Oryzias latipes: one gene and its partners. The protein of the gene in region 5 purifies or fractionates together with the protein of the main gene of each other region. This does not show direct contact. Links are inferred from orthologs where the notes say so. Each region holds a gene or a part of one and is shown on either strand. Other genes may lie near its edges.

Region 1 (6,064 bases), on a different chromosome or scaffold from region 5:
GATTTTGGCTTCTAGGAACCAGGAGGTACTTCCTGTTTTGAATGCCAGGGGGGAGGGATTACTTAGGCCAATTCCTGTAAACAGTCAATGATTACAACACAAAATGCAGTTGGATAATGATCAAAGTCATAACACCATCTGATCAAGCAAAAACCACTAAAACAAGTGTCAACATCCCCCATGCGGTGGGACGGGATACGTGTGTGAACCCGCAGCTTCATGGCTGCTCTAAGCACTGCCCTGCACTATAAAAACACAGTCCTGCGTTTGCATTGTTGGACGTCTCACACAAAAGAGCTCTTGGATAACCTAAGGTTTAGAACCGTAGCCACCACCGTAGCAAAGTTGCAAAAGACCGTCTGCAGACAGAGTTCAGCTCAAAGTCTTGGTGTCCCTGTAAGAGTCCAGAACGCTCAACGAGGTAAGCAGGACGCCTGAAGAGTCCAGAGAAGACACGTCAACAAAAGACACAAAACAAAAAAAAACAAACAAGAAATTTGAACCTGGATGCAAGTTACAAATCAAGGATTACGCCCACACACACAAATCCAAAGTTACACACAAACATGCAGACACAAGTTACAAATCAAGGATTGCTCACACACAAATGAGGTGAGACTATTTTGGCTCCATAGAAGTGTGACATCAGGAGAGCGGTTCACACCAGAAAGAAGGTTGCTGCACTGAAACAGTCATGATTTCTCATTGTCTTTCCCCATCAGTTAGGGGGTGGGAGGAGTGAAAGGAGTGGGGTGCTTGGTACGGGGAGGGGGGCCCTATTTTTTAATTTTTGTGCTTGTTTATTTTAATCGTCATGCTTGTTTTTATATTTTGTTGTGTTTTAATGTAAAGCACTTTGTGTTGTATTTTTATATGCAAAGTGCTTTATAAATAAAGTTTTGATTTGATTTGATGATTAAAGCCGAAGGTTCACATTATTTCTCTCATGTTGTGCTCAATAACGCATAGAGGTTTAAGGTGAACATTTTTCTTTTTCAAGAGTCATCTTTTAAATGCAGAAAATAGTAAAACCCAGATGCTTTTCATTTTTACAACTTTAAAAAAAAAAAAAAAAAAAAAAAAATTCTAAGAGTGTGGATGACAGGACTGTGTTTAACATTTCTACTGGTTTCATTAAGCTGTGCAACACTTGTGAATACAGGGTTCAAACACCGGCACGGAGGTAGAGTGTCCACCCTGAAACTGGGCAACTGCACGCCGCAGTGGAGAGTTCAAATAGAGTGTAAATCAAAAGAACAATTGAAAAGAAGAAAAAGGTAAATAAAAATGTAAAAAAAAATAATTTCGCAACGAAAAAGTTGTTTAAATATTTATTTTCTCTTCAAATTTGATTTATTTAATTAGAAAATTAAACATTTACGTCTTTTAGAAGATAAAATGCAACGATTCGTATATGTTTGGCAAAATAAAAGTGTATGTGCAAATATTTATATACATATATATGACTCTTAATTAACCAAGAATGGATATTTCATCAACCATATCATAAAAAACATGCCGACAAGTCTGCTAATCTCTTCAAATCACTTTAAATCTCTAAATCTGTTCAATTTTTCATCCTTTGCGTCGCTTTGGTCTGGAGTAAAACTGAGTGGTGCTTCTTCTTCTGCGTTTCCATCAGTGGCAAGTACTGGCACGCCTATAGCGCCCTCTAGTGGTTGTTGCTATTCATTTCAAAAATATCACATAAATCACACCTCCAGCCAAACTACGCACAAAAAACCCACCATGACCTATTCTCCAAAAAATACGTATTTTATACTTTAAAATAAATTCTTGGTACTTTAATGGTAATTTCTTGAAATATTTCTGTTGCCAGGAACAGTTTCTACAGATGTTTTTATTTGTATTTATTTATTTTACTTACACTTGTTTGTCAAGACAGACTTATTTTGCAAACACTTTTTTAAGAAATAAAACAAACATATTCTGTAATCTGACCTTATCGATGTCCAACAGCTCGGTCTCATAAATCTCAGCAATGGTGATGTGGTGCTTTGCTGCAATAGTGAAACGGCCCTAAAATGGTAAAAAGTCAACTGTAAAAATATAAATAAATAAAAAAGGAGCACATCCTATGATTTTTTTTTTTTCTTCCCATTTTAAGTGAGCTTGCAGCTTTGAAACTCACCATGTCGGTGTAAATCTCGATTGCTCGGTTTAAGCAGTTTATGGCCTCTGTGGAGAAAACAAACAAAAATAAAAGGTAAAATATAAACTGGTGGAAAGAAAAAAACAAAACTGGGGTTTAATGGTCTCATGTTGAAAAATAAAAGGAAACCAGAGCCGTCTCTTTAAGCTGTTTCTAAACCGCCAAGCTTGAAAATATAAAAGTTTCCTCAGTCCAGAGGGATAACATTTCTTATTGTGTTGCTTTTGCACGCAAATTAAGGGACCGGTTAAATGTTTAACCACTCAGTTGATCTGAATACTCTGTCAAATCGCAGCAGACATGGACAGGCAGAGCGTCTCCTGCTGCAAACCACCTTTTGAATTAGAATAGGGAGTCTACAGATTTACAAAAGAGAATTTAAGGATCTTTAATACCTTTTTAAAGAACACTCAAAATCCCAATTTAAGACTGTATATTAAAAGAAAATGAAACAAACAGCTGAAGTCTGTGGTTTCTTGTGGCATTTTTCTGATGAAGGAGGACATATATAAATGAAATTAAGATTAAAATTGCATTTGAATATTGCTCCACTTCATCCTGATGCATCCACTTGCAGACACATAGATCCACGAATGTCTTTGTTTTCCTCGTCTGATCTGGAATCTGGATCAAAACTGTACGGCTGGATGGCTCCAACATTGCTCGCCACTTTTGTTGCACTCGTCATGTTAAGTTGAGGGTGTGAGAGGCTGACAGATAGCAGAAGAACGTATAAACAGAAAGCTCTCAGTCACGGGTGACGGGAAAGGGGGTTGCTCCACGCCAACAGTCAGAGAAGAATTTCAAAGGAAACTATGTCCTAGAAATAATTTTGGCTAAAAACGGCATAATCATAAGTAAAATAACCCACTGGGAACGCTTTGACAATAGATCAAAAGATGATCGAGCCAGCCAGTAGAAAAATGTTTAAAATACTGAAATGTCTTCTTAAAGCTCTCACGTCAGGGGAAAAATGTTTTGGGGTTTGTGATCCTCAGGCCTGAACTCATAGGAGGGTTAAAAGCTAAGTTTGTGTGAATTTCACATCGTCGTTTCCTCATTATTTGCCATGGCCCACAGGAAGACAAGTTCCAGCTGTTGTGGCATAGTTCACCGTGTTAGAATCAGTGGCTGCATCTGAAACCTGGACCTAGCGAGTGCCACGTCGCCCGTACTAGTTGGTTCACTTCTAAATCCGACAAAATTAGGTCAATTTTTTCGAAATATGGGGATCGCCATATTGGAGCCGTCTGTAAGCGGTGATTGGTCCGAGTCGGACTGAATCCACATTTTTTAGCCAACTACCAATCGGGAGTCTGCAGCACGCTGCACAAAATCTGTCAAACATTTGAAATGTTGGACGTGGGGGCCAGCAGGCTCCTCCTTTTATTGAAGCATCTAAATAAGCATCAAATAAGTAATAGTTTATTACTTGGAATAACATAAACTACACAGACAAATACCATAGAAAGGGTTATCAGTTGCCAATTTCCATTTATTGTGCTTTTAATTAGGCCTGCACAATTAATCGCAAATTTATTGTTATCGCGATTTCAAGCTGTGCAATATCCAGATCGCAAAAGTCAGCGAAAATTTGCAATAAATGGTAAACTTTAAATGTGCTAAAACAATCTTATGGCAACTTTAACTATTTAATGAATTGAATAAATCCCTTTAGGCATTTGACCAATAGGATGGAGCTCTTACGTTAGATGTTGCCCTGCTAATTAGATCAGGGTCATTTGGAGAATAATTTAAGGTATTTTTACTCTTATTTAAATTAAACATTTGCAGGGAAATAGAAATGTTTTTGTTGTTTTTGCTAGTGGTTCATTTATCGCAAGTTATATCGTCATCGCAATATTGATCACTAATATCGCATATCGCGAGTTTTCCTCATATCGTGCAGCCCTACTTTTAATGTTTATTTTTGAACTTTGTTTTGTACAGTGTCCTATTATTATCAAGAACATGTTTAAAAAAAAAAAAGGTATTAGAGCAAGAATGGTTATTCTGACAAATAGAGTCAGTTTGTTTCTAAGAACACAATCAATCAATCACTTCACTAAAAATGCTGAACACTGATAATCAGTCTTCGTTCCAACAGAAAGCATCCTTCTGAATCAGATATGACCAACAACTGAATCATCCCAACATCATCCCTGGTCTGCATATTCTTTTTGTTTTTTTTGTTTTAGGAAAGGCGTGAAGGCCCACGTTCTCCAATGTTTGCATATTCAAAGCAACCTGTCATATATTCGAGGAAGCAAGTTCTGTATCACATCAAAGCCATTTCTATATATATATTTTTTTTTTTTGCAGGTGTAAAACCTAGAAATGTCAAGTTTTTGATAAACACTTGACAGCAACCCAAGGACCTGAGGTTGATCTAGTTAATGTGTAGACGAAAAATAGATGTCTATTTTTATTTATTTAATAGGGACAGTGCACATTAATGAACATCTATCAAACAATGATAGGCGTAAACATGCTGGATTATAGCAATGATGCTAATTTGCATCCATAGTCCCTAGGCAGGAAACATAAAACAGGACAAAACAAAAGACAGAGTCACAGATCCAATAAGAACACAAAAGGGTGGCACATTATGAGAGTTAAAAGTCAGTGGCTACAGGACTGGAGGATAAGGATGTAAATGGGCATAGCATGTAAACGACACCAAACGTGAAAGGATGCATCTGCAACGCTGATGGAAACGTTTACATTCTTTTCCTGGAGCGATGATGAAGGTGGAATGTGTGAGTTGACCTGTAGCATGACAACAAGTCCAATCATGTCACCAGCAAAATAAAGAACTACTGACTGAACCAGATGGTTAGTTAGCCATCAAACTCCTAACAATTGTAAAGTCAGGACTTCACACACCGAACGTTAAATTTCATGGGAAAGAATATAGAAGGAAATTAATAAAAAATATGAATTCCTTAATTCTTACTTCCAGTAGGAAAAAGAGCCGTGAAAATACATCATATTTCATCAAAAAAATAATTCTTTAGTGTGCCAAAGGTAATATATGATCACATATATGGATAAAGTTTACTCTGAAAGGCGTAACAATAGCATGATATATAGGCCCTACAACTCACATCTGCCTGCAGCTCAACTCCTCCATCCTCCATGGGAGTTTTAGCCCCCCCCCCAGCAACAACAGGTACCTGTTATTGCTAAATAAGATTCCCACAGTATTCCTCTAAGCCCGTCAGACAAATTATATCAGGTTGATGCAGGAAAGGAGGAGACAGTGGAAATGGAGGTAGTTGTGCATTAAAAAAAACCCAGAGGAACCAATCATTTTCCAGTAATATCCCTACAACTGTTTTGGTTTTGGCTACAGATATTTATGATCTTTCATATTCCTAACTACTCAGTGTTTTATCAGGGCCTGTTCGGATGAACACAGATCTAATATCATGGAGATTTACATATCAGTAAAAATTAATTTTCCACAGTACACATGACCATCTCTCATGGCACATTTGCTTCATTAAAGTCCTCCATGATCAGAAGAATGTCAGAATAACATGTTAAAAAACATTAAAAACACCCGTTTCATCTGATCTGCTCTTAAATGGGGGATGCCCAATATATCCAATTAAAACCAGACTGTATATTACACAATTTAAAATGAAATATTGCATCCCCGCAGCATATATTTGCATATATTTATAGTGAAAGTGTCAAACACATGTGATCTGCTATTTTTAATTTATTGACATTGTTTTATAACATTTCACCAGGCTTAGAATAAGCTAAATCAAGGCTTTTTCTTTCATTTCTTATTAGCAAACTTAAAAAAAATGTTTCTCTATGTTTTTTGTAGTTGTTTTTGCAATGCACACACCAAATATCGAACCAAAACAAAACCGTGAC
Region 2 (6,064 bases), on a different chromosome or scaffold from region 5:
AAGCTGACCCTTTAAACACATTAATGCCAAATATGACATCACCCATTTGCCAACGTCAACACCTGATAATGGCTGACCGTTTATGAATCTGCTGTGTTGTGATGGTGAAATTGTGGATTAATTATAAAAAAATAAATGTAAATACTTTTTTTAATTAAAAATAACAAGTCGTTCAAATGCAATGCATTGAAGTCTTCCAGATTTTGGAATAGTAGATTTGCCCAGCACTACAGAAAGTGCACTGTGTAGAGAGCAGTGAAGGAGTTCAGTCACAGTCTAGGGGTCTTGATCAGTGCTGCTCACTCCTGGTCGTCCTACCACCCCGTCTAGAAAACCCAGTTTTCTACATCTCTAATCCCTGCTTGGTTAACTCAGTCAGGTGCTTCCACATTCTGATTGAATAAACACACCTGGTTCAGGTAAAAGGTAGCATGATTCGGTTCATTTAGAAATGAAGGACTCAATGTGTTGCTGAGAGCTTCAAGACTTACCAGATAACAGCTGTAACAGAAGCTCACTTCAACAGCATATAAACAGGTCAACTTCGGTACTATATGTGTATTACACAGCAGATGTTAGAAGGAGCCACAAAGTTAAATTGTTGCCACAATCAAATAAGGGAAAAATAATTACAATTTTGCCCCTCTCACGATGCCGTTGTGGAAAAAGGGCTCATCAAAATCTGGTTTTGGTCCTTCTTTGCCAAATTCTAGTTGTTAAGCTATAAAGACAGGAACTGTTAAATAACAAATTTCTTGTTTTATGGTAATTGCACATCATGTTCTTATTGTGAAAGGGCCGGTTGGATGGGATGGGTCGTTGTTGTGTTGATGATGGTGGAATGAATAAAGAAAACGTTACGCTGCGAAGTGAATTTCAATTTTGTTTAACATTGGTAGCAGGGGATGATTAGCAACTACAGAGTCCTACAAACCTTTGACGAAGGAAAACCGTACAAAAGTTGGAAAAAATAAGTTGGACCCGAGTTACAGACCTTGAAAAGAAGAAGCAAGCACTCTCCGTTCCTTTGGCGCTTTCTTCTGGGCAAGCGAGAGACGTGGCGATAGAAATATCAAAGGAGGATTTGCTCAAGGACACAGGACACGTCACTAATAAAGCTAGATGATCGGTTTCTCAAAGAACAAAGACCGGACCTACTCAAGTTTGGATAACGAGAGACAGTAATGTATCCGTGACGGATTAGATAATTGATTTTGAACAGCGGTATACTCAAATGTGTACATACAAGAGGGATCTTCCGGATGCAGTATGAGCATTTTGTTATGTGTGAATAGATTTAGTGTCTCTTGGATGCTGTGCTTGCTGAGTACAGCAAGACTCATCTCTGTCAGCAAAAGAAAAAGATCTGCTCACGCCCAAGATTGGACAAATTCTCTGGGTTGCAAGGCAGAGTCGACCAAAAGTCTTGTTTGATGCTTTAAATCCATGAAACGAATAGAACGGTGTGCAAACTGAAATCCAGTGAGGTGGCTCTGAACTTTGAGCTTCTAGGCAGGGACTCAGCCCTCAAGATGAGGGTGTTCAGTGATGCCTCATTTGGCAATCTTTCAGATGGAGCCACTCAAGAAGGAAACCTGATAGTTCTAATGGGAGAACGTGGAAAGTTTTCACCGCTCCCCCTCAAAGAGAGTGAACAGAATTGTGAGGAGCACACCTGCTGGAGAAACACTGGCAATGTCTGATGGAACTGACAATGCACCGTTTGCAGCAACACTGTTCTCTGAACCAACGACTGAACACGCTCCACCCATAATCTGTGTCACAGATTCACTGGCTGACGCACTGAAGTCTGTCTGGAAAAAAGTGCCAACTCATCCAAGCAGAGTTGAGCGAGTGTTGTGGTACAACGTGAAAGAACAACTTGCAGACTGCTTTACCAAAAGGTGCATCTGTTAAGGCTCACTCTCTTTACACCTCCCTGTTTTTGGGGTTCTGGGATTGGAGCTCAGCACAGAGAAAGCATGTTCCTTAACACATTGCAAACGCATAGTAGAGTCAAACCCAAAGAAGTTTAATCTGGATGCAGCGGAGCTGTCAAAGAGGAAGGCCTTCATCACCAGCACCAGACATATGGTCAGGGTAAGCCTCCGCCACACCTCAGATGTGAACTCGCTTTGGGAGGAACCCCAAACGTCTGCAGCACGGTGGTCTGGTTCCCTTCGGTTTGGTCAGTCTGGTAGTTCATTGAAATAGTTGAAGACCAATGGCTCCTCCAAGTACAGCCCTCAAAGATTTTAAAAGTAGAACTCATCACATCTGGAGAGAATGGTGGCCTGACGCTGGGCAGCATAACAGACCCCTAAACTAAAAAGATGATCTTTACTGTTCAGCTGTTTGCACACATAATGAATGATTATCCTTTAGAAAGCATCCCCTCCACAGGAACACATTTGGTCTGGAAAGGTTTGGTTTGTTTTTTAATAGCAGCAAAGACATCAGTGGGATAATGTCACGTGTCACGATTCCCTAACAAGGAATACTTATTCTAAACAAAACAACATGTTACAGCTGTCTGAATGGTGGGCCTGACAGAGTAAAGAGGGAGTTTTGTTGAGTCCATCTAAAAACAAAAAACAATACAGAAAGGAAGGCCTTCATAAAATCAACTTCAGTGATTTTACAAAAAATAAAGCACAAAAGATCTTTCAGACAAGACGGTAAATATATATTTTTAACGTCTTATTTTAACACTATATTTAACTGAAAGCTGATTTAGTTCTGGGGAACTGCAGCTTTTTCAGGAGTGCTTCAGATTTACGAGGGGGGGGGGGGGTGCTATAGCACAGTTTACATCAGAAATCTAACCATACATGCCCCATTAGTTATTTTCTTAACACGGATCAGTTGTCTTGGACTCCTCCAAAAGGTGCATCTGCATGCTAGTTACCTGAAGCCCCGAGTGAAGGACAAGCGGAACTTAGTTCATGTTAAATGCAGCAACAGCAAATTCAGTGTTGTTAAAAAAAAAAAAGGCTCGTCTGGATCTGTGGGCACCCCTCTGGGGCGGGGCCCGGTGTTGGGCCCTCCTGGCGCGGTGGGGGGGCTGCTCTCCTGGTTGGGGTGGGGCAGCACTTTCTTTCCCCCCATGCCTCCCTGCTCTCTGGCTCTGGGGGCCTCGCGGCGGTCCTGCTGGTCCTGGCCTGGGTGGCGGATGTGGTCGCCCGGGGGGGATGTGTGGCGTTGGAGGATTCTGGCTGCCGCTGCTGCTGTGGCGGGGGTCTTGGTGTGGGGGTGGCTGGGCACTCTCCCTCTTCTTTTCACATTCCACCGTCCATTTTGGAAGAACACAAACACTCACCTGAGCACAGGTGTTAGCTCACCTTTGCACTAATAGTTTGCGTGTCGAATGAAATATAATTTCACACTAGTTGGTTTGAAGTCATAGGTATGCGTGTGTGAACACTATCTGTTTTGTGTACATGTTGACAGGTGGACATTTTTACAGCTAACAGGTGTGTTGATAACATTTGAGTGTGCGTGTGGACAGGCCCCGCCTTTTGAGATTTGTATTCTATCTGAACCTTACTGTAATGATAAACATCCAGTAACTTGTTGCTTTATGCCGCTTTATGGTCTCACCCCCCCCCCCTCCTTTAATCACCCCCCCCCTCTCTAACCTCTAACATCCCTCTCTCTTCTTCCCTTCTTTCCTTTTCCGTCCGGTCCAACACACAAGTTTTTCAAATATGATTGAAATTAATAAAGTTCGGCCTCGATTACAAAAGGGGTTTATTCAGACATACCTCTGGTTTGTCAGAAGATTTATAACCCCTCTTGTTAAAGTAAAATATGTCCAACACAAGAGGCCCTCAGCTCTCATCTGTTTGCCCAGCTGTTGGACAGGACAAGTTAAAAAAAAAAAAAAATAAAAAAAAAATAAAAAAGAAGGTGAGTTTGAGCTATAAAGGCAGGGACTGTTAAATAACAAATACTTCTTTATTTGTTTTATGGTAATTGCACATATGTGCTCTTATTTTGAAAGGGCAGGATGGATGGGATGGGATGGGACATTGTTGTGTTGATGACAGTGGAATGAATAAATGTAAGCTAAGAGGTGAATTAGAATTTTGTTTAACACTAGTGACCCTCTGGGGGGGTAAATATCCCGCTCATGTTTAGTGTGCTGAACTGCTGCTGCACAGAGGTGTAACAGGCTGTGCATGTACTCGTACTTTAGTACATTTTTACTTGAACTACGAACATAAATGTCTGTTCATGACATGACTGATAAAGTTGATTTTAAAATGAGATTAGATGAAACTTTTTATCCACTTTATCTTAAAATAGCTTTATAAAAGCCTTCTTTTCAGCAATCAGCCAGCATTTAAGTCAGGAGCCGTGATAATTGAAGAACCAACCATGGTCACAGCATCATGAAGAAGCTACAGCGTCCTGGCTAACCATAACCCTCTGTCTCCGGTTCACCTGTGGAGGAGAATCAGAGACGGAGAGGAACAGTACTGTGACATGGTCGTGGTGTCTAAAGGTCCCTGTTTGCCCTGCTGTATATTATGGTATGGCAGCGTTTGTATTCTGATGAAACGTGAAAGTAAAACCAGATGTCTGCTGCTGCTGTTGATGTGTGCGTCTGTGTGGTTCCTACCGCAGAATGCTGGATGATTTCAGCCATGAGATGGACAACACACATTCAAGACTGGACAATGTCATGAAGAAACTGGCCAAGGTGTCACATATGACCAGTGGTAAGAGATCTGCCCGGCAACCAGATACAGCGGTGCTGCTTCACACATGGTTGGTTGTCAATGAAAGACTCTGCTGCCTTCCTGTTGTTGCAGATCGCAGACAGTGGTGCGCCATTGGCATTCTGCTTGCTATTCTTCTGGTTGTCGTCCTCCTCTTCTTCATCCTTTGAGAAAAAACTCCAAGTCTTATGTTTTCTACTTGACTGGCCCGGGTGTTGCTGTACCGGACCGGACTGAGCGTGACTGAAAGCTGTAAAAGGATTCATGTATCGTGGTCCGTCATAACCAGGAAGTGTTCATTTTCCTCATTTTAGCAGTCTAACTGAGAATTAAATGTAACAAAGTCAACTGTAACATGTTCATAAATGCTGACAAATACTTGTTACTTCAGAAAAAAAGCACAGCCCAGTTTTCAAGAATGACCTGGTTTGGAGTTTCAGTAGCTTTGTTGGGTGGGCTAATCTGACCCGTTGACACTACCTTTCCTTGTATCGTGGTTTTGCTTAGACGTTGTTTGTAGCACTTTGTTTTTAAGTTGTTCTTCAATACATGACAAAAAAGTGTTTATTTGGTCATCTTTTTCATTTTGTAACCCTTTTTCCAGTACTGACAACAAAATGCGACAACACTTTGTGTCCCTTTGTATCCTTCTTTGTTTTTCAATTTAAAACATGTCATGGGAATGTGGACGTATTTTGTGTGTATATGTGTGTGTGTATGTGTGTCTGCTGAGAGCAAAAGTTGTAATTGTAGTAATTTTTAAGTATTATTAACTAAGTACAATCAGAGATGACCAATTACAAACCTTAAAATGATCCAAAAACGTATTTGACAAAATGATGCAGAATGAGAATAAAGGCATTAAGTTGCCTGCCCATGCAGCTGTGTGGTCCAGGTGGACCAGTCTCCACATCACTGTGAGGAAACTTTGGGGAGAAAATGTCCAAACTGCTGCAGTTCTCCCTTTGCTCAGCATTTTTCTCTCTAAAAAGCTCCTCGGAATATTGAAGCAGGTTTTTAGGGGAAGATCTTGACAGACCGTTTGAAAGTTATCCTTCTGGAGCGAAGAGTTGCTGGAGCGGAGGCCACTGCTCTTCACCCCCCCGCTGCTGTCGCGGGGAGACCCGCTGGGAGACCCGGACCTGTGCAGCAGCCCGTGGTCATCATGGGAGACTCTGTTGTCCGGCGTGTCCGGGTCAGCAGGTGCCACACACACTCTCTCTCTGGAGCTGTCGTCAATGACATTACAAACTCTGCTCACCAACTCTGTTAAACACCCCTCTGCGGAGACTTTCATCATACATGCAGGCACCAACAACCTGAAACTGCAGCAATCAGAG
Region 3 (6,563 bases), on a different chromosome or scaffold from region 5:
AATCATCAATTAAAATACCAAGGTATTTGTATTCTGTGACCAGTTCAATTAAATGCCCTTCTTTTGTAGTAATTGGGAGCAGGTTTTTGAGTTTGGCTTTGCTTTTAGAGAATAGCATGTATTTAGTCTTATTTGAGTTTAAAACCAGTTTTAAATGATAAAAAGTGTTCTGCAGTTGATTAAAAGCTGATTGGAGCTTTGATATGGCAAGCTCAACTGAAAGTGCTGAAGTGTACAAGATGGTATCATCAGCATATAAGTGCAGGTTATCGATGATACCTTTATCAAGGTCGTTTATATAGATTGTAAAAAGCAGTGGCCCAAGAATCGAGCCTTGTGGAACCCCTGCGGATACTTTTAAAAATTTTGATTTTTGGTTCTGAACCTTTACACACTGTGTCCTGTCAGACAGGTAGTTTGCAAACCACCCAACAGAATGCTCTGACAGCCCAATACTGCGCAGTTTATTTTTAAGCACAGCATGGTCCACAGTATCAAAGGCTTTAGAGAGGTCGATGAAAAGGGCGGCACAGTGGCGTTTGTCATCCAGAGATTCAGATATGTCATTTAAAACTTTAAGAGCTGCGGTTGTTGTGCTGTGTTGCTTTCTAAAACCTGATTGTGATGGGCTTAAAATATTATTTGAAATGAGAAATTCTTTTAATTGTACGCTTATAAGACCTTCCAAAACTTTTGCCAAAATGGGTAACTTGGAAATTGGTCTATAGTTATTCAAATTTGTTGGGTCACCACCTTTAAGTAGAGGTAACACATAAGCGGACTTCCAAGCATGCGGAATGGTGTTTGTGGACAAAGACAAATTAAATAAATAGGTCAGTGGAAGTGCGATAGAGTCTGCTGCCGCTTTTATAAAATATGGTTCCAGATCATCAGGACCAGCAGATTTAGTAGGATCAAGGAGTTTAAGGGCTTCTGAGACTTCTGAAGTTGTGAAGAGGGAAAATGAGAAATTATGTATTAAATCTTCGTGATTCACAGGGAGGGAGTACTCAGCTGAATGTTTTATAGAATTAAATAATGATCCAGAGGAAACAAAATGCTCATTAAAACATAAAAGCATCTCTGTCTTGTCTGTTATATTACAAGTGTTTTTCATTATACTTGAAGGGAGCTCAATACCTGAATTATTTTCATTTAGGGACTTAACTATCTTCCAAAACTTTGAGGGATTATTTAAATTTTCTGTAGTATTTTTCAAAAAATGGTCAGATTTCACATTTCGAATTGCAGTAGTGCAAGCATTGCGTAGTTTTCTGAATGCCAGCCAGTCAGATGCATTATCAGAATGTCTAGCTTTTGCCCATGCTACATTCCTTTCATGTAGTTGGTTAGCCAAATCTGAGCTAAACCACGGATTATTACGACCTTTCACTTTATAGTGCCTGATAGGAGCATGTCTATCAAGGATTTTTGTAAATTCATTATGGAAATAACTCCAGGCCCTTTCAACATTATCAATTTCCATCATCGTGTGCCAGTCAAATTCATATAGTTCTTGACAAAAGGATTGTTCACAAAATTGCTTGACATTGCGTTTTATGATAATGTGTGGTTTGGTTTTGGGCATTTTTGTGTTTCTCGATGTAGCAATGATACAGTGATCACTTATATCATTTGCAAATACAGCAGCAGTTGAATACTTTGAAGGAGAATTTGTAAGAATCAAATCAATTAGCGAGGATTTCTCCGGAAATTTGGGGTTAGGTCGAGTAGGATCATTTACTAATTGAAAGAGGTTCAGGGAATCACAGTAAGATTTAAAATCATCAGAAACAGCTTGCAACCAGTTCCAGTTTAAATCTCCAATTATTACAACTTCATTGTATTTTAAGGAAGACAGCAGTTCCATTAAAGAGGGAAGAGCAGAGCCATCAGCAGAGGGCGCTCTATAGCAACCAACTAGGGTAATATGCAGAGAATTAGAGATCTCCAGATCAAGAGCTAAAAGTTCAAATTTCTTTGCCATTGATGTTTGCAGAAGAACTTTTGCATTAAGTTTAGTTTTGATATAGATGGCTATACCTCCCCCCCTTTTGGGACGATCAGCCCTAAAAACATTATAACCATTGATATGTATGTCAAAGTCAGTTATTGATTTGTTTAACCATGTTTCAGAAACAACAATTACATCTGCTTCAGTTGAAATTGCCCAAATGCGTATCATATCCATTTTAGGCAATAAACTCCTTACATTGAGATGAATGAATCCAAGACCATTACGAGATTTGAAGTCTTCAGGAGTACTAAAAGTAGGACTATCTGGTCCAGGGTTTGGTGGAATATTCCCGGAGATTAACAACAATAAGAAGATGAGGCGTCTTTGAAGTTGTGGTTTCTTACATACTGCATTTGAAGGTCCTAGAGATGGGAACGTTTTTAAGAATGCTATAGTAGAGTTTATAGTAAAATTCTTCTGAAGAACCATTACACAGCTGAGGTGCAGCAGTTCATTTGGATTGTCTGAGAGACACACAGATGCGTATGCATTATGACATTCATGAATAAAAGTTTTTGTTCCAGCATGAAATACACAACACACTGGATTCACTGGACGGGAGTCATCTGACTCCCGAAGAGCTACGGCAATGCCAAAGTCTCCGATGGAATATAAGGCCAATGTTAGCAGGAAGAATATTTCAGCCCTTGATATTATTTGCCGGGGGCTTTGAAGGAAGGTATTTAAAACTTTGGCCATGGCAGCCTTCAGTCCAGATATCTGCCAGAATCCAGTTCGGGATACACCGAGAGCCGTTTTTTTTTTTTTTTTTTTTTTTTTTGTTTTGTTTTGTTTTTTGTCAGACGTCCTCCCGTGACGTGCCACACAAACAGCAAGGAACACGGAGCTTGAAAGCTGCGGGCAAAAAGAGCGAAATTACTGCCCAAGCTTAGTTCAACTTTAAATGGGTATAGATCACACGATCCGAGGGTTGAATCAAGCACTTTCCTTCACACAAAGATAGCAAGCTCATCAACCAGCCAAGCGCTCCTGGATCTGCTTCGGATAGGGCATATCACACAGGTGCTAGGAAGGCAGGACGGCATCAGCATCTCAACTTTGGCAAAAATATATACAATAGTGCGCCAGCTTCGATAGAAGGTAAATTGGGACTTCCCTTAATTGATGAAGTATAAGGCCCGTCAAGGTTAGTCACGCCAGGAATCCAGCGACGATCACCCGGTGATAATCTTCATGATGACCGCATACAGTTCATGATCGTCGAAAAAATAAAAAATAAAAATAAAAAAAATAAAAATAAAAAATGGAGCGTTCCTTCGAATATCAGTGAACCAACCCTGGTTTTGGGTCTTAATGAATCGAGTAGGCTTTGACTCACAGAGTTTCGGAGCTAGCCTTTCTAAAAACAAGCACGGTAATTGATAAACAAAATACCATTCTCAGAAAGGCCAGAAACAACTATAAATTATAATCTAAAATAGCTTAAAAGTCGTTAAGAAAAAATAAAAATAAACTCATTCATTCACAGGACGCTAACAGACAGACAGAGTGCGTGCTGCCATCTTGGCGTCTCGACCTGTGCACCAAATAAAAATAGGACGCCCAGACATGGATAACCAGGGGGGTATTCCAGGGAGCATATTAAAACTACCCTGACTTTAATCCTGAACTCTGGCTGAAATCCGCCTGAACTTGCTTACTCTGGGTATGTTGGTTCCAAAAGACCGGATATGAGTTAGCGTAATTACGCTCGACTTGGTAACCCTGGGTTAATGCACGTGCACAGCAAGTACATAAAGACATTCTCAATGGATCACCGATTTCCGGAGTCACCATGGAAACGCGTGGTGAAAAAAAGAGAGCGCTACAATTCAGTGAGACGGAGTCTGAGATTAATGACGGCGTATGAAGATTATAAACCCATCAAAAAAGTAACACGGCTGCATCATCAAAAGAAAAAAGGAAAAAAAAGAGTTTCTGCTTGCAGAAAAATAACGGACAAAGTAAAAGCAATAGTTTCTGATCTTATTTCTATTATTCTTGTGACGCATATATATATATAACTTATCCAACTTAAATGAATTACTTATTACTTTATTCAACCTAATTTCTTACGTCTATCCAACTCAATATTTCTTTTTACAACTCAAATTTACATATTTATCTAACTAAATATCATATTACTCCAGTTTAATTAAATGTTTTTCAATCTTAATTTATTGCAATTCTTGAACTCTCCTATGTCTAAGAGGCTGCAGATTTTCTCATTTTTATAACAATAAAATGAATGAAACAAAATGGAACCACATTATGAAGTCTGTTCTCTGACTTAAATATTCCTCCACTGGGCAGTAAAGGTTCTAAATAAACTCGTGATCCTCTTCCTCCCTCTCCCTCATGGTGCTGAAAGAATTAAACATAACAGGGTAAAATAACTTGGTAAAACACATTAAAACAGCTAAACAACTAAACACATTTTGTCAAAAAACCACACTTGAACCCAAATCCGTCCAGACAGGCAAAGTGAATGGTATCCCACAATCCCTTGCGGTGCCGATCTAACAGCAGCACCAAAGTTACACCTACTTAATTGAATTAATTTGAATGAAAGTAAAATAACTGATAACTACGTGTTATTTTTAAGCTGACTTAAAAATGATTTCTCTTAACTGAAGCACATAATTAAGTTAGATCAAAGTAAAAAAGTTTATCTTTCCAACATCCATATGTGGTCTTATCACCATTTCACTGTGGAAAAAGTATTATCTGAGCTTCTTCATCCACTAAATCATCTTCAAATGGACACGCCATGCTGCTTCACCTCTCTGAAAACAAACTAACCTTCAACTAAACCTGCTCCAGACCAGGTTATGTTCAGAGCATGAGTTGCCATGGCAACTTGACATACCCTGAAACATACCTCTGTTTTTGGAACTGAAAGCTGAGGTTATCAACTTCCTTAGCCTCAAACTTACTGTGGTAGCTCACATAACCTGCTTTCTGGAACAGGGCCCTGGGCTTTCAGTAGTGCTACGTCTGAATCACTCAACACCGCATAAACTATTTTACGATGCAGAAACGAGCTTTGCGTTGCGTATTGATAATTCCTGTAGCCATGATAAATGCCTCTAAATAAACTGAATAAACAAAATCGTAAACAAATCTCTTTTTTTGCAACTACAGAAAGTAAAAAGCATTGAAAATAACACGTGAATAATTAACACGATTCAGATATTTTTAGGCCTTCAGAGAAGGCCTTGACGACCCACCACTGGACAAACGTCATCATCTGATCAGTGATGATCTAAATTACCAACCTTTCTTCTTTTGTTTCATTTTTCAACATTTTATGTTGTTTTCTAAAACTTTTTTTTTCATTCATTCTTTTCCTTTGCCGTTTTTCCCTCTCGGGGTCACTATCCCGGCCACTTGTGTGTGAAGGCATGGGATGTCCTGGACAGGTCGCCAGTCTGTCGCAGGGTAGAATTTTCTAAAAAAAAAAAAATGTTTTAAATAAGCTTTGGTTTCAGGATTTGTTGTGGTTTCTAAAATCGATTGTTGTTTTTTTGTTATCTGTTTTCTATATTTGTTGTTGTTATGATCTTTAATATGTTTTTGTGTTGATTTGTTGGTGATTTCCCCTTTAGGGCAAAGTCTTCTGACCTGCGAGAGCCCCACCATTAAACAAACGGGCAAGATATGTTACTCCCTTCCTGACCTGTAGGGGGCAGCAGAGTGCGTCTCCAGTCTTCTGTGAAAGAAAGAAGAAGTAGAAAGTGCCTAGGAGCGGGCGTTCGACTCGTTTGCGTGTTTGTACGGTCCTATCCTTCCTTTTCCTGCATCCATGCAGACCGCAGGCGGCGGTACTCGTCCTCTCTTCGGGGGGTCCATGTCCGCTGTCTTCCCCTCAAACGCCACGGATGTCAGCGTCTTTAGAGACATTCCGGACAACCAGGAGGTGTTCGCGCATGCTCACACGGACCAGAGCCTGATCGTGGAGCTGGTGGAGTACCAGGCCGACGTGGCCGATCCGGACGCTGCCAGGTTCCACCTGGAGGACATCGCAGGCAGCAACGGGGCTGTGGGCGCTTCCGAGGTGACCGGCGTGCTGGAGCTGCCCAGAGCGGAGCTGTCTCTGGTGGAGTGCAGCTCCGCGTGGAAGGCAACGGGCGCGCAGCGCGTCGCCAAGTTCAACGAGGAGACCCGGAACGCGGTGACCGTACACCTGGGCGTGTTCCGTCTGCCGCAGTTCTCCACGGACGTCCTGATAACCTTCAACGACCCTCAGAGCATCAGCCCCGGCAGCAGCAGCGCAGCCTTGGCGGAGGCGCACCGAGAGCCGTGGACGCTGCAGGACTTCCAGCGCCTCCTGCAGACCGTCACTCTGAACGACCCCGGCCTGTTTGGCTAGAATCTGCTGGGCTTTTGGACAATCTGATGGATTTTGCGTGACAATAAAAGCTGAACCTGTTGTCAGAGAATGAATTTCAGCTGATGCTGGAAGGCTTGTTGAATACTGATGTGTGATGCTGAGAGTCCTTTCAAAAACAGACCCGTAGAAACTAAGTGCGTGACTGCAGCTGAA
Region 4 (6,598 bases), on a different chromosome or scaffold from region 5:
GGTACTGCTGTAAGGATGAAGTCAAGGTGACCTGAGTGATTCTTTTGTTCTTGTTAAAATATTCAGGAATGTTAGAGGTTCTCGTTTTATGGACTACAATTCCAAATTCAGTCATTGTGGGGATTTTTTTGTAGGTGCAGTGGTGCAATAAACCCCACTTTCACTTTTTACTTGGGAGCTGAGGTAGAGGCTCATACATATCTTGGTGTTAACCTGGAAATTCAACAGTAATGATTTTCAAGCAGATTGAGGTTCATTTCATGTTTGTAGCTAAATGTTTCATATCTTCTGAGCGTCGTCTGGTGCAGAGTAGCCGACTTAAAGAGGCTAAACTAACTAATATAGAGAGCTGGGAGTCTTTTGTAGGCTTTACTCTAGAGCTAAATGTTTAATAAGGAGTCTGTTGGATGAAAACTATTAAGCAAATTCTTTAAGGGAGAAACTCAACAACAACAGTGTCTTCAGATCTCTAAAGAATGTTAGAAAACCATTTAGTACATCTTCTACTTCAGGATCCATAAAGTCTTGTTTTAAACAAATTATCAAATTCTTTCTCGTACATTTTTAGATATAAACAATCATTTTAATGGTCTCTTCCACTAATAACTCGATTTCTATTGGATTAAATGACATTTTGCAACATTCTCTTTCTTCTTTCAAACTCTAACGCAGCAAATCCTCATCACAGCACCAACGTTTTCATTCATCCAATCATATCTAGTCTTTTTATTTCATGGATGAGTGGAGGTGATGGAAGAATTTCAACATTTGGATGTGTTCCTGTAGGAAAAACTGGACTGGATTTGTTACAGTAAATCAGATCCTTTGTGCAACAGTTTTATTTATGTCACATAAAGGAATAAAAAGGTTTCCTGACAGAACATTTATTTAAAGAAATGGTGTTCTGACATTGAAAACTTCAGAAAGATGAACTTGTTTTCTGACGTCTGAAATGATTAAGTCATCATGTAGATTTTGGGTATAGAAGTGTCCTTCTACAGGTAAACCCTGAGAGAAGGAAAGTCACTTACTTATCAAAAGAAACCAGCTTTTCATCCCGAAAACCATCTTCATTCTGGAAACAGAACACAAAGACTCCAGTTAAGTCAGCAGGTTGAAGAAACAACATCCCTTAAGAAACACGGGTGGTTTTATGTCATTTAGACTGTTCCTACAAACAAAACCATTGTCTTCACCCCAAACTGCTAAATCACAGCATGTCTAAACTTTTCATTTCATTTGTGGATGTTAAAATTTTTACAGCTCTGATAAAACAAGATTTTTCTACCTTTCATGACTTCAAATAGTCACAATAATACACAACTGGATTTGGATTAGATGAATCATCAGATAAGTTATGGGACTTTTCAAAATAGGACAATTAAAATCCTAAGTAGGAGAAAAAATGCTGATGATTAACAGGTAAAAGGAAAAATAAGGAATATTGTGGTTGTTTTCCACACTTTTCCTGGTGTTGTGTGAATCCATTCCTGAGTCTCACTCACTGAGAGGCGGGATCCCGCTCTGGCTCTGGCTATGGACTCCCGCTCTTTCTCGGCTGCGTGTCGCTGAACCGCCTGGAAGTTGTTGAGCGCCGCAGAGAAATCACTCATGAGCCGGTCTCTCTGAATCTTCTGCTGCCTCTGGACAGAGCAGAGCACCCAAAGCACATTAGGAGACACTTTTTAAAAAAGCATTTAGATAACGGTTAAGATTTTAAAGTTCAATCCTGACAATCACTTTCCAACATTCAAGCAGCAACATTGTAACTTAACTCCTATTTTTTCCTAAAGATTTTCAGGAAAAATCCCTGCTTCCTCTGTATCGTTTATACATAAACTCGGCTTTCATCTCCTGCTTAAAATTTACAAAACAAAAAATTAGCAAATCTCAACTACAAGAATCGCCTTCTTTTACTAATATCTGATCACTTCAGAGGTCACAACAGCAAACCATCTCCCTCCAGTTAAACCTTTCTGCTGCAAAAATACTTTGAAGTACTGCTGCACACCGTGTTTGGAATACTGCAGTCAGGGGAGACAGTTTTGGTAAAAACTCAGGATTTGGTCTTCATGCAGACGTTTCAACAAACTCCCACTTACCTGTTCAGAGGGGGATAGAGGCGCAGGGACAGAGCCTAGTTCTTTAAGGTGTTTGTTGGTTTCCTTCGCAAGCTGGTTAGTGTAGTGCTGGATCTGCTGCCTGCAGAGAAAACTGTGCATCAATAAAAACAGGACTGAACATCAGCCACAAGAAGAAGCTGCTTCCCAGATTCAGGCTATTACAGTCCCAGCCATTCTGCTCCACACTAAAGCACACTCAATGTGTAATGCACTACTGTTAATGCATCTGTAAATTGCTTTTATTGTCAATTCAATTCAAATAAAGCTTGAAATTTTTAATTTTCTTAGTATTTTTTTTTAAATCAAATAATAGAGCTTTTCTACCAGCTCTGAAATAAATCAAAATTTTAAAATTCTTTGCAAAGTGAAAACACGCCATCAAAAAGTGTGACACATTCATTTAGTCGCAGAAGACAAAAGAGATTATTGAAGTTTACTCCACAACCACCAGCAACAGTCATTTAACCTCTTCCTGGTCTCACAGCATCACTTAAATGTGCAAAGCAGGAGGACTCCTGGGTCAGTAGATGTAGGTTTTGTAGCTGAAACCAAATTTTGTCACCAAAAAGCCTGAATTATAACAATTTTAAAGGTTTTACTTCTCAATACATATGATTAACAACAGTGTGTGCAAGAAATGCATGTAAAGCAAACTGGCTGTGTTAGTTTTTTTTTTCATATTGTCTTAAACATAAGTCAGGGTGCCTTATTGAATAATTGCATCAGTGTTGGTCTCATATTCAGCCTCATTAGGAGGTTATTACCAACAAAGATAACACTGATATTTGCATCAGATGTTAACCAGCTAGAAAACCTCCATCTGCCTGTGTTTTCATTAAAACTGGTAGAAAAAAATGAAACAAGAAATGATGACATACAGACGATCGTGAAGTTCACTGGAGTCTTGCCTTGTCCCTTGCTGGTTCACCATGGTCTTAATCTGTGCGGCTGTCAGGAAAACAGAAACAATCTTAATCTCCAAAACCTTTACTCAGGGATCATCTGTGTGCACAGATATCAAACAACAACACAGAAAAAAACACAAAAACCAATCCAAACCGCAGAAGCAAACGAGCTAAGAAATAGTTTAGTGTCCATTCTTGTATAGACAGCAGAAAATGCAACTTAATTTGTGAGTTTTGTACCAAAGAATGTAAGCACTTATTTACTGTACACATCTCAAAAAGGAAGCAAACCTGAACATTTAGAATAGTGTATTTTCCTGAAGCACTTGTGATGAATTAGCCATGTGATTGCTTAACCTGGATCTCCCCCCCTGAACAGGCCTGAGTTAAGCAGCAGATCATCACGATTCTTGTAAGCATTCTCACATGACTTCTTCCTGAGCCAGTGACTAACAATGAGTCTCAGCTCCCAGCAATGGAGGACTCACTGTTCTGTGTGATCTTCTGGATGTTGGAGCTGCATGTCTGAATAAGGGAGCCAAAGTCCCTCGGGACAGGGCGGAACTCCGCTTTACCGTAGGACATGTTTGAGGCGGAAGGCTTGGCTTTGATGTTGAGCTAAAACTGTGCATGCAAAAAAAGAAAAGGAAATTTGAAAAAGGCCACAAACTGTTATTTAACATGAATAATTCAATCTAAAACTCCAAATGTAGGTCGGAGGGAGAATGCAATCACGCTTCAAAACTTACTAAAACGCACAGACTAAAAAGCTGACATTTATTAAAATCATCACACAAAATTATAATACAGACTAGTAAAGTATATACAGAACTGTTAGGATTTCGCTGCTTTTTTTTTTTGACATGACGCACACCATAAGACCCGTACGCTTATTTAACTAACCAGCAGATGTTGACTTATAGACAAACATGAAGCCGCAACGTTAACATATTGATAGTATAACCACAACAATGTTACCAGAGCGACGTTCTGCTAACGGAATTTTACATCACAGAGTGACATTCCCAACAACACGTAGCGGAACGATGCTAACGTGTTAGCTAAACGTGCTAACTTCTAAGCGTTAGATTATAAACGATGAAATCGTTGCGTTGCATATTTAAAATAGCGTTTAATCGACATTTGAAACTACGAAACAAGGTAACTGACGTTTATTTTATACTTGCATATGATTCAGCTGAAGAAACAAATTCTCGCCCTTCGATCAGGGCTTGGTTCCGGATTCAGCTGAGATCACCGAGCCCTACTTCCTCTGACAACCAATCAGGTCACGCATTTGAAACCAAACCACCAATCAAAACGCTGTAGCGTGCCCGGGTCCAGTGAGCCACCAATCAAAACTGAGCATTCGACTTCCTGGTATGTGACATTTCGGTATGACGTTGTTTTTTGTTGTTTTGTTTTTTTTAAATGCTCATACAGACCAAGTAAGGGTGAACAAACGTTATAAATGCGCATATAGAAAAAAAAGAAATTCCCGGGTCCAGATTTTTCATATAGAAAAGAACATCAGATAAGGAAAAAAAGGGAATATTTAAAACTTTGAGTGACAACCAACTGTGAATATCAGTCCAAAATATTTTTGCAACTGTAAAAGAGATGTTCTACGTTTCAGTTTCAGATGAACAGAATATGCGTGGTTCTGATTGAAATTTGAATCTTTTATGTAAAAAATCTCCAACAGGGTAAATTTTAGATATTATTTTAAAATGCGTTTCTTTCATTTTAGGTGGAAGTGGGTACTTTGTGTATAAAGAAAAAGATTTGTCCATTAGGGTGGTTTCTAAGTCGCGTTCATTGTTTATGCTAAAGTTGCAGAAAATTATTTGTTTAAAGGTTAGAGTTTATTGTTGCCTTTTTTATCTTTTAGGGGAATATCATTAACTTTTCCATTAATTCTGGAAATTGTGGTTTGATTGCATTGTATTGTAATATGTTATGAATAAGATTAAGTAAAGGTATGGTAATTGCTTAACAGACTTTGCTATAACAGTTACTAGAATCCTTAATTTTGTATTTAGTTACAAACCCATTGTATGATAACAGCATTCCATCAGTACGCATCAAGTCATAGACAAAACACACACCATTATTCAGAAATAAACAAGGATTTATTGTTTACAGTTATAAATCTGCCGCCACCAGTGTGTGAATGGGTCTGTGTTTGTAAACCGCTTTGGGCCTTGTAGGTAGAAAAGCGCTATATACTGTAAGTGTACGCCATTTACACCATAACTGCGGGGTTGAAGATGCTGCAAGGGAAAACATACATGGAGTGCCATTATCAAGTGGCTGGAATAATATACAGAAACACGTGTGCAGAATATGAACTGGAAACCTCAAAGTCAAAAAGAGAAACACCTCTGAAGGTGATAGAGAATGAAAGGGCAAAGATCCTGTGGGACTTCCAGATACTGACTGACAGGATGGTAATGGCGAACCAACCAGACATTGTAGTGGTGGATAAAGAACAGAGGAAAGCCGTTGTGGTGGATGTGGCAGTGCCAAGTGATGGGAACATCAGGAAGAAGGAACATGAGAAACTGGAGAAATACCAGAGACTCAGAGAAGAACTGGAGAAAGCCTGGAAAGTGAAGGTGACAGTGGTGCCTGTGGTAATAGACCTTTTTCACACTTCCGCATTTTTCGACCGGAAATACGTCAATGACGTGTAAAACAACTTCCTGTTAGCGTAGCAGCAGATATGAAGAATGGCAGAGTCGAAGAGTTGCAGTCTCTGTTGCGTTCCAGGCTGTTCGTCTTCCTACCAAAAACAGCCTTACTTTTCATTTCATTATTTTCCTGTGGATCCAAACCTGAAACCCAAATGGATATAGGCGATGCGAAGAGATGAAGGGCATAGTTTTAATGTAAACACAGGTAGCACCCTCTGCTGCCGGCACTTACTAACTTCGCTCCGGATGGGGTGCGGCTGCGTCGTTCGTCGCCTGAAGAGTGGTGTCGTCCGGAGTATTTTCCCTTGGAAAAACTTTACTGCTCCTTTGAGAAGGGAGTCAGTATATGACAGAACCTCAAACGTCAGTCTATGCAGCTATGCTGTGAAGATACTAGCATACGGTGGCTAAGCTAAGGCAGTAAAGATGGATCAGGACTACGTGACACAGGTAAGGTTGTTCATAATGTGTTTGGTTAACGTTAGTCAACTATGTGTACCGTTATTGGATAAATGCATTTCTACCTGAAAAAATTAATATTTATAATAAAAGATGTTCATGCTCTCACCTATTTTAATTACATGTATTTAATCACTTTTGAGCATTTTGTCATTTTGTAATTTCCTTAACAAAAATAAATTAAATGTATTTGTAATTAAATACTTAACATACTTTTCAAAACATGATTACTGTGTTGTGTTGAAAGGTAGCATAAATATATTAAGACTGATTTTTAATTTCTTTATCTTCACATGTGCTCTGGATGAGGCTTTGGATTACATCCATGACTTAGAAGCCAAGTTCCTTTGCTGGACCCAGGAGACGATGTCATGGCGGACAAAAGTTCCTCGTTCAAGACCTCCTTACTGACATT
Region 5 (6,667 bases):
TTTATTGAAGATTTTGTTCATGACCTGTTTCTTTCAAGTCCCACCAGAGAGTTTGAACACTCTGCTGTGCTTTGGGTCTTTGCTCAAGCTTTGACTTGAGGACTTGGGGAAAAAACCTGAGCTTTAATATGAGGAGTCAGAGAGAAGACCTAAGTCTAGACTCCAGGAGTCGGACAGAAGACATGAGCTTGGACTCGATGACTTGGGCAGAAATACCTTAGCTTTGAGTCAATTTATTGGAGGAAAGACCAGAGCTTTGACTCAAAGAGTTGCTGAAAGGACATGAGCTTTGATTTGAGGAATTGGGGAGAAGACCCAAGCTTTAACTCGAAGAGTCAGAGAAGACCTGAGCTTTGACTCGTGTGGTCGAAGAGAAGATCTGAGCTTTGACTCGTGTGGTCGAAGAGACGATCTGAGCTTTGACTCGTGTGGTCGAAGAGACGATCTGAGCTTTGACTTGGGGAGTCTTAGAGAAAACCCGAGTTTTAACTGAAGAAGTTGGGAAGAAGCCCTGAGCTTTGACTCGATGAATTGGGAAAAACCCAAGCTTTGACTTGAGGATCCGTTGGAGAACATAAGACCCGATGACGAACTCAGGAAATAAACCAGATTCTTGTCAAATTGAAAATGGATTTGCAATTTGTGAAATCATCACCCTTCCACCCATGACAGAGGCCCATGAGTCAACGGTAGCTACCCGAGGCCTGTAGAGGCTGATATTCCTTTGGTCTGGTCTTGAGGTGAACTGGCTGAGATGTTTGTCCCCCCCTCCCATAAAATGATGTAAAATCAAGAGTTTTGTCTGAAATGAGGTAATCTGGTTAAATTAAATGTACCACCAGTGTAGTGTCTGCCCTGAGACTGGGAGGTTGTGGGTCTGAATCCACGGTCTGGTCATAGACACTTTCTTTGGATTGTGAGGGGTGACATGTTGATGCAGTGAGACCACTAATAGGACTTGGACAGCACCCGGGTCTCCTCGGACCCTACTCACCTCTCAGGGCCAGGTCCAGCGCGGTCTCCTTCCCGATGCCGGTGTTGGCTCCGGTGATGAGTACCGTCTTCCCGTCCAGGCGGCTCGCGGTCCTGCACGCGGCTCCAGCTGCATATCTTCTGTTCAACAGAGACAGCTGTTTTAACCCAACCCGGAGCGGCACGGCACGGTTTCCGTCTGAACGAGTGATTTCTCTGAGCCACACGGGTTAATTATTCATGGACAAACTTGGCGGAACGGCGCGGATCGTCGGGTCGAGCGACCCACGCCACCGAACGGGCCCGCCCCGCACCCAATGGCCCCGCTCCGCTTACGCATATTAATTGGACTCCTCCCACGTGCGGGCACCTGATAGGCCCGAGCAGCTCAGACGGAAGGCGGCCGCCTCATCCCGGTGCTCAAACGTTTTTCTGATTCACTCAAAATTCCGTCACCGTTTAGCGGATTTGAGACAAAACTCACACCGAAATCAAAGCGGCTGACTCAAATAAACACCTCTGGGGTTAAAAAGCAAAGCCAGCCTCCGTGCTGATGACGTCACAGCAGTGCAGGTACCGCGATGGGGGGACAGCGGGTCCCCGCTGCAGCTCACCGTATGTGCGGAGCGAACAGCAGCAGCAGCAGCGTCACCACCCCGATCCCCGCGATGATCACCAAGACCCACATCTGAGCGCTTCCACGGGCCTCTGCCTCCGGCCGGACGTCAGGGATGTGTGGGCAGAGCGGGGCTGAGCAGCTGATGTCAGGGCTGGAGGGGCGCAGCGGCACCGAGAGCGCACGTGCAAAGGATTGTGGGATTGTAGTCATTGTTGTGTTTTGTAGTCCTTTACATTGGAGGTCAAATACAAAAAAAATGTTGTTTTTTAATTTCACGTAGCAGCAGGAAAGATTAGAATGAATGCCAAAAGATATATATACAAACTAAATGTGTTTAAAAAACAGTAAGAAAAATCGTAAAGGATGAGTGAGAAACGGTTCATTATAAAGGAATACAAAACTATAGTTTAATTTAAGAAATGTAATGCCAGAATTCGAAGTAAAACATGGAAAAATGTCAATTATTGTAGATTGAATTTTGTAAAAGAAATTGGAAAAAAAGACAAAAACATATAAACACAACAGCTAAATCTAAATCCTCCCACAGCCTTATATTTTGCAAAAAAAATTTAAATAAATGTATATACATTTATATGATTTATTATCATTTGAACAATTATTATTATTATCACTAGAATCAATTACCATTTAAGTTGCCGTTATCACTTCATAAAACTGAAAGCTGCCTCTGGTTATTTCTGTATAACATTTATTTAGAATATCTATTGCATTATTATACGTTGTCCTCGAACAAAATAAGATAAAACATTCAAATAATATTAACTTTTTAAAAACTAAAAATGCATTTTCAGCACAAAAACTCAATTTGTAGTGAAGGTTTTATTTTATTTTTACAAATATCCTTTTATTTATTAAAATAATAGTAAGTTGAGTAACACATATACCAGTAGGCCTATTTGAATCAGTTGCAAAAATTGAATTATAGAAATCGCATCTAATTTAATTTTAATTGTACACATAAATTTAAATCAAAACATTTTCTTTCTTGTAACTAAAGATTCAATTTAGAACTCTTCTGTTTAACGAAATCAATAAACTACACTTCCCAATTTCCCCTGGAGCCAATGTTAGGTGTCTATTTAACTGCCTGACTAGAAATCTTTACTCTTTTCCCTTTTAAAATTCCGATAAGCAATATTGTGTGATACAGTTCATAAAAAATAAATTTAAAATGGTATCTTTAACACTATTTTAATTTTTAAATGTGTAAAACACAACCGATTATTTCATTCTTTTACGGAATTTTAGTCCTTTTGGTCACGAGGACCATCATGCGGAAGAATCCCGGGTTCTGATGATGAAGGAAGCAAAACAAACAGATTATCTTAACCTTTCCACCTACAAAAAAACCTTTTAAGACTCTTGAATATATCTATATTCAGGAGGAGCAATAATAACTGTATTCAGGAGGAACTATCCGGGTTGATCCCTGAGAAATGTCGTCGGAGGAATTCGAGAAGTTGCAGGAAATCTACAGATCTTTGTACGAGGAGCTGAAGTTAATTCCTGACAGAGCCGCGAAATGTCACGGAGGTAAACGAGGATCATGTTCTTTGTTGCTCATTGTGTTCTTAAAATCTCACTAAAAAACAAAGTGAAAGAGGTTTCATTCAAGATCATTCATAGGTTTCATCCAACAAATCAGTTTATGCAAAGGCTAAAAACAGAAAAACTGTTCTTTCTGTTTTCATTTGAGGAAACGTTGTTGATGCATATTTTTTGGGACTTGCATGGAAAAAACATCTTATTTGGTTTCATTAATTATGATAATAAACATTCGTCTTAATTTGATTTAACGAATCTCCTGATTTTACTAAGTATTTTATTCACAAAACTAAATTTAGCAATAAAGCTCCCAATTGTTTTGATTGATCGACTTAAATTAGATTTTACTAACAATCCATTTCCCCCAATACAAACAAAGAAGCAATTCATACTTGTCATTTTGCTCAGGTTTGTCATTTCATATAACTTTATTTTTGTATATTTATCCCTCTGGTGTTTATAATTGATGTACAAGGTAATGGTCTTTATTATTTACTGTACGTCTCCTGGGTTATGAATGAATAAAACTAACAAAATCTCACTCTGATCATCTTTTGATCTATTTCCAAAGTCGTCTTAAATTATGATCATGTTTTTTTTTATTTAGCCAAGAAGCTGTGTCGTTTTCTAGGACAGCAGTTTGTTAGAAATTTGCGTCAGAGTTGTGGGCGGGACTGTCGGCAGGAGTAAGCCCACCCCCACTTCCCGTCACCCGTCTGTTTACACGCTCTCCTGCTTACAGCCTCTCACACCCTCAACCTGACGTTACAGGTGCAACACATCGCAAATATACGTTTTTCAAACTGCTTTTTTTTCCGTCCGCTCCCGATTCACAACGATTTGAATAAAGAATTACTCAGAAAGGCAGTTATAAGCTACATGTTATACATGTCCCCCATCGTTTTCATGGCAGTGGGTGTTTGAAAGGATGGATGGATGGAAGGAGCCTCTGTAACCTGTGTGCTCTGGTCTGCAGAGGAGAGGAAGAGGCTGGTGAGGAGCTTCGATGAGCGGCAGGGAGAGGCTGAGGAGGTGGTAAGCAGATGTCCTCCTTCCTGACGGCTCACATTCATGGAGTCATTTTGCGGTTAAACACAACAGATGGCACATTCATTATTAAATATTAATTTTTAAAAAAGGCTTTGAAAAAATCAAACTGGGGTTTTTGGTGCTACAGTCAAGAACCAGCGAAGACTTGAAGTCAAAGTTCAAATATTTGGTTGCGTTTCACACACAAAAATAAGAATATTTGATCAAATTTTGTTCATCTCTTCCTGTTGGAGGGAAAACGAGCTTCTAGTTTCACATGAAGTCATTGTGCGTTTATCAGCTGATTAACCTTTAATTTCTTTTTTTCATACTGTTTTTACATTTATTTGAAATGAACAGTGTGATTATGGTTACATGGTTTGCATGCAGCTTTAAGTTTAGTTTTCTATTTTAAATTTCTTTTTGTTCTTTTCATTCATTTGAAATAAAAGAAAAAAATGTTTTATTGTTTTTTCCCCTCTTTTTTATTTTTATTTTTTACAGCAAACAATACCAAAAAAAAGAAAAGCAAAGAACAACAAAACAAACAAATACCCTGCAGATTTTACAATTAAATGTTCAAGTAGAGGTTGACTTGTCTATAGAAATAATCCATTAATGGTTGCCATGTCTCAGGTGTAATTTCTTTTTTAACTGAAGAGTTAATAATTCCATTTTTCTTGAACCTTGTCGGCGTTTCTATAGTCGTTTCAGACGCTAAAATCCATCTTTTTGATCAAATGGACTTGGATTTTCTCTCACAGTTGCAGGGCATGGAGGACGAGCTCCGTGCGGCGCCGGCGTCCTACAGAAACGCCATGAGCACCAAGCTGCGTCTGTACCGCAGAGACATCGGCAAACTGCAGAGGGACATGAAAACCTTTGCTCCCGGCTTCGGCCCCGCCCCCCTGACGTCTCACGGCGACCGCCAGGGCCTCTATTCACCCGAGAACCAGCAGAGTGTGAGTGTGGACCTTCACGCCTCACAGGTGTTCTGGAAACCTCCTGACTTCCTGTTTGTCCCTGGGGGGTGCAGACACACCTGCAGTCGCAGAGGTCGCTGCTGCTTCAGGGGACGGACTACCTGAACAACGCCACGCAGAGCATCGAGCGCAGCCAGCGCATCGCCGTGGAGACGGAGCAGATCGGTACAGACATCATCGAAGAGCTGGGGGGGCAGAGGGAGCAGCTGGACCGAACCAGAGACAGAGTGAGGCCGCCGCCTCCTCCTCCTTTCCTCCTCCTCCTTTCCTCCTCCTCCTTTCCTTCTCCTCCTTTCCTTCTCCTCCTCCTCTTTGTCCTCCTGCTCCTTTCCTCCTCCTCCTTTCCTTCTCCTCCTCCTCTTTGTCCTCCTCTTCTTCCTCCTCCTCGTGTTCCTCCTCCTCCTTTCCTCCTCCTCCTCCTTTCCTCCTTCTCCTTCTCTTCCTCTTCCTCCTCCTCTTCCTCTTCCTCCTCCTCCTCCTCCTCCTCCTCCTCCTTTCCTCCTCCTCCTTTCCTTCTCCTCCTTTCCTTCTCCTCCTCCTCTTTGTCCTCCTCCTCCTCGTGTTCCTCCTCCTCCTTTCCTCCTCCTCCTCCTTTCCTCCTCCTCCTCCTTTCCTCCTTCTCCTCCTCCTTCTCTTCTTCCTCCTCCTCGTGTTCCTCCTCCTCCTTTCCTCCTCCTCCTCCTTTCCTCCTTCTCCTTCTCTTCCTCCTCCTCTTCCTCTTCCTCTTCCTCTTCCTCCTCCTCCTCCTCCTCCTCCTCCTCCTCCTTTCCTTCTCCCGCGTCACTCGTTTCGTTTCTTCCTCTGTTCAGTTGGTGAACACGGGAGAGAACCTGAGTCGAAGTAGGAAAGTTCTGCGGGCCATGTCTCGGCGGTAAGCTCACCCACCACTCGGGTTGATTCAAAGGGTCACGTGTCAGTCAAAAGGGCCACGCCCCCTTTGTGCCCAGCATTTATGTACAGTACTTTAAAAAAACATAAAAGCACATAAACATGAACACAGTCAAGAGTTGGAGAACAGGAAGAAGAACAGGCTTTGGATCCAGACTATAAAAAGTCTCCCTCAGACAGCCCTCAGGTGTGGAAGCACACCTGAACGTCTGAGAACGAGGGCGTGTTCACTCTCAGCGGAGCGAGGACAATCGTTTTATTGAAGCAGAGTATTATGGGTAAAGCAAGAACTGCTCATAACACAAGAAGGTCACGCGTGGTAGAGTGTCCGCCCCGGGAATGTCAACAGCTGTAGAAGTTTATGGGATTTTGGCGTCTTAGAGGCCGCGGGCACTTCCTGTTTGGAACGCCAGGGAGGAGGAGTCACTTAGACCAGTTCGCATATACAATAATCAAATAAACGCTTAAATCCACCGATGATGAGGAGGGTCTTCCTCTCTGTCCTGCAGGCTCATGACAAACAAGCTGCTCCTGGCTGTCATCATTCTAATGGAGCTCGCCATCCTGGGCGCCGTGATCTACCTGAAGTTCTTCCGGAAGTGAGGGAGCG

What was found.
Region 1: the proteins of vti1b (region 5) and napa purify together in Homo sapiens (affinity purification with mass spectrometry; 3 studies listed by BioGRID and IntAct, counting the BioPlex papers as one, with this or other methods). This does not show direct contact. The link is inferred for Oryzias latipes from reciprocal best matches to the Homo sapiens genes VTI1B and NAPA.
Region 2: the proteins of vti1b (region 5) and syntaxin-6 purify together in Homo sapiens (affinity purification with mass spectrometry; 3 studies listed by BioGRID and IntAct, counting the BioPlex papers as one, with this or other methods). This does not show direct contact. The link is inferred for Oryzias latipes from reciprocal best matches to the Homo sapiens genes VTI1B and STX6.
Region 3: the proteins of vti1b (region 5) and vamp4 purify together in Homo sapiens (affinity purification with mass spectrometry; 4 studies listed by BioGRID and IntAct, counting the BioPlex papers as one, with this or other methods). This does not show direct contact. The link is inferred for Oryzias latipes from reciprocal best matches to the Homo sapiens genes VTI1B and VAMP4.
Region 4: the proteins of vti1b (region 5) and stx12 purify together in Homo sapiens (affinity purification with mass spectrometry; 3 studies listed by BioGRID and IntAct, counting the BioPlex papers as one, with this or other methods). This does not show direct contact. The link is inferred for Oryzias latipes from reciprocal best matches to the Homo sapiens genes VTI1B and STX12.

What each region holds. Positions count from the first base shown.
Region 1 is NC_019871.2:5,023,999-5,030,062, forward strand, and holds part of napa (alpha-soluble NSF attachment protein), read right to left. Parts: intron 2,200-6,064; coding exon 2,153-2,199; intron 2,041-2,152; coding exon 1,963-2,040; intron 1-1,962. UniProt on the Homo sapiens protein: Required for vesicular transport between the endoplasmic reticulum and the Golgi apparatus. Together with GNA12 promotes CDH5 localization to plasma membrane.
Region 2 is NC_019862.2:1,652,020-1,658,083, forward strand, and holds the end of syntaxin-6, read left to right. Parts: exon of another isoform or gene 1-1,904; intron 1,905-2,887; exon of another isoform or gene 2,888-2,979; intron 2,980-4,629; coding exon 4,630-4,724; intron 4,725-4,817; coding exon 4,818-4,894; 3' UTR 4,895-5,402; downstream 5,403-6,064. UniProt on the Homo sapiens protein: SNARE promoting movement of transport vesicles to target membranes. Targets endosomes to the trans-Golgi network, and may therefore function in retrograde trafficking.
Region 3 is NC_019862.2:3,863,596-3,870,158, reverse strand, and holds the start of vamp4 (vesicle-associated membrane protein 4), read right to left. Parts: upstream 3,678-6,563; 5' UTR 1-3,677. Other genes in the region: rangrf (ran guanine nucleotide release factor), read left to right, coding at 5,823-6,389. UniProt on the Homo sapiens protein: Involved in the pathway that functions to remove an inhibitor (probably synaptotagmin-4) of calcium-triggered exocytosis during the maturation of secretory granules.
Region 4 is NC_019869.2:17,749,338-17,755,935, forward strand, and holds the start of stx12 (syntaxin-12), read right to left. Parts: upstream 4,332-6,598; 5' UTR 4,216-4,331; exon of another isoform or gene 4,199-4,215; intron 3,653-4,198; 5' UTR 3,614-3,652; coding exon 3,517-3,613; intron 3,072-3,516; coding exon 3,002-3,071; intron 2,203-3,001; coding exon 2,103-2,202; intron 1,644-2,102; coding exon 1,506-1,643; intron 1,076-1,505; coding exon 1,032-1,075; intron 1-1,031. UniProt on the Homo sapiens protein: SNARE promoting fusion of transport vesicles with target membranes. Together with SNARE STX6, promotes movement of vesicles from endosomes to the cell membrane, and may therefore function in the endocytic recycling pathway.
Region 5 is NC_019880.2:1,874,347-1,881,013, forward strand, and holds the start of vti1b (vesicle transport through interaction with t-SNAREs homolog 1B), read left to right. Parts: upstream 1-2,840; 5' UTR 2,841-3,048; coding exon 3,049-3,145; intron 3,146-4,070; exon of another isoform or gene 4,071-4,093; coding exon of another isoform or gene 4,094-4,133; coding exon 4,134-4,192; intron 4,193-4,950; coding exon 4,951-5,148; intron 5,149-5,222; coding exon 5,223-5,396; intron 5,397-5,978; coding exon 5,979-6,040; intron 6,041-6,566; coding exon 6,567-6,660; 3' UTR 6,661-6,667. Other genes in the region: retinol dehydrogenase 12, read right to left, coding at 995-1,113, 1,587-1,801. UniProt on the Homo sapiens protein: V-SNARE that mediates vesicle transport pathways through interactions with t-SNAREs on the target membrane. These interactions are proposed to mediate aspects of the specificity of vesicle trafficking and to promote fusion of the lipid bilayers.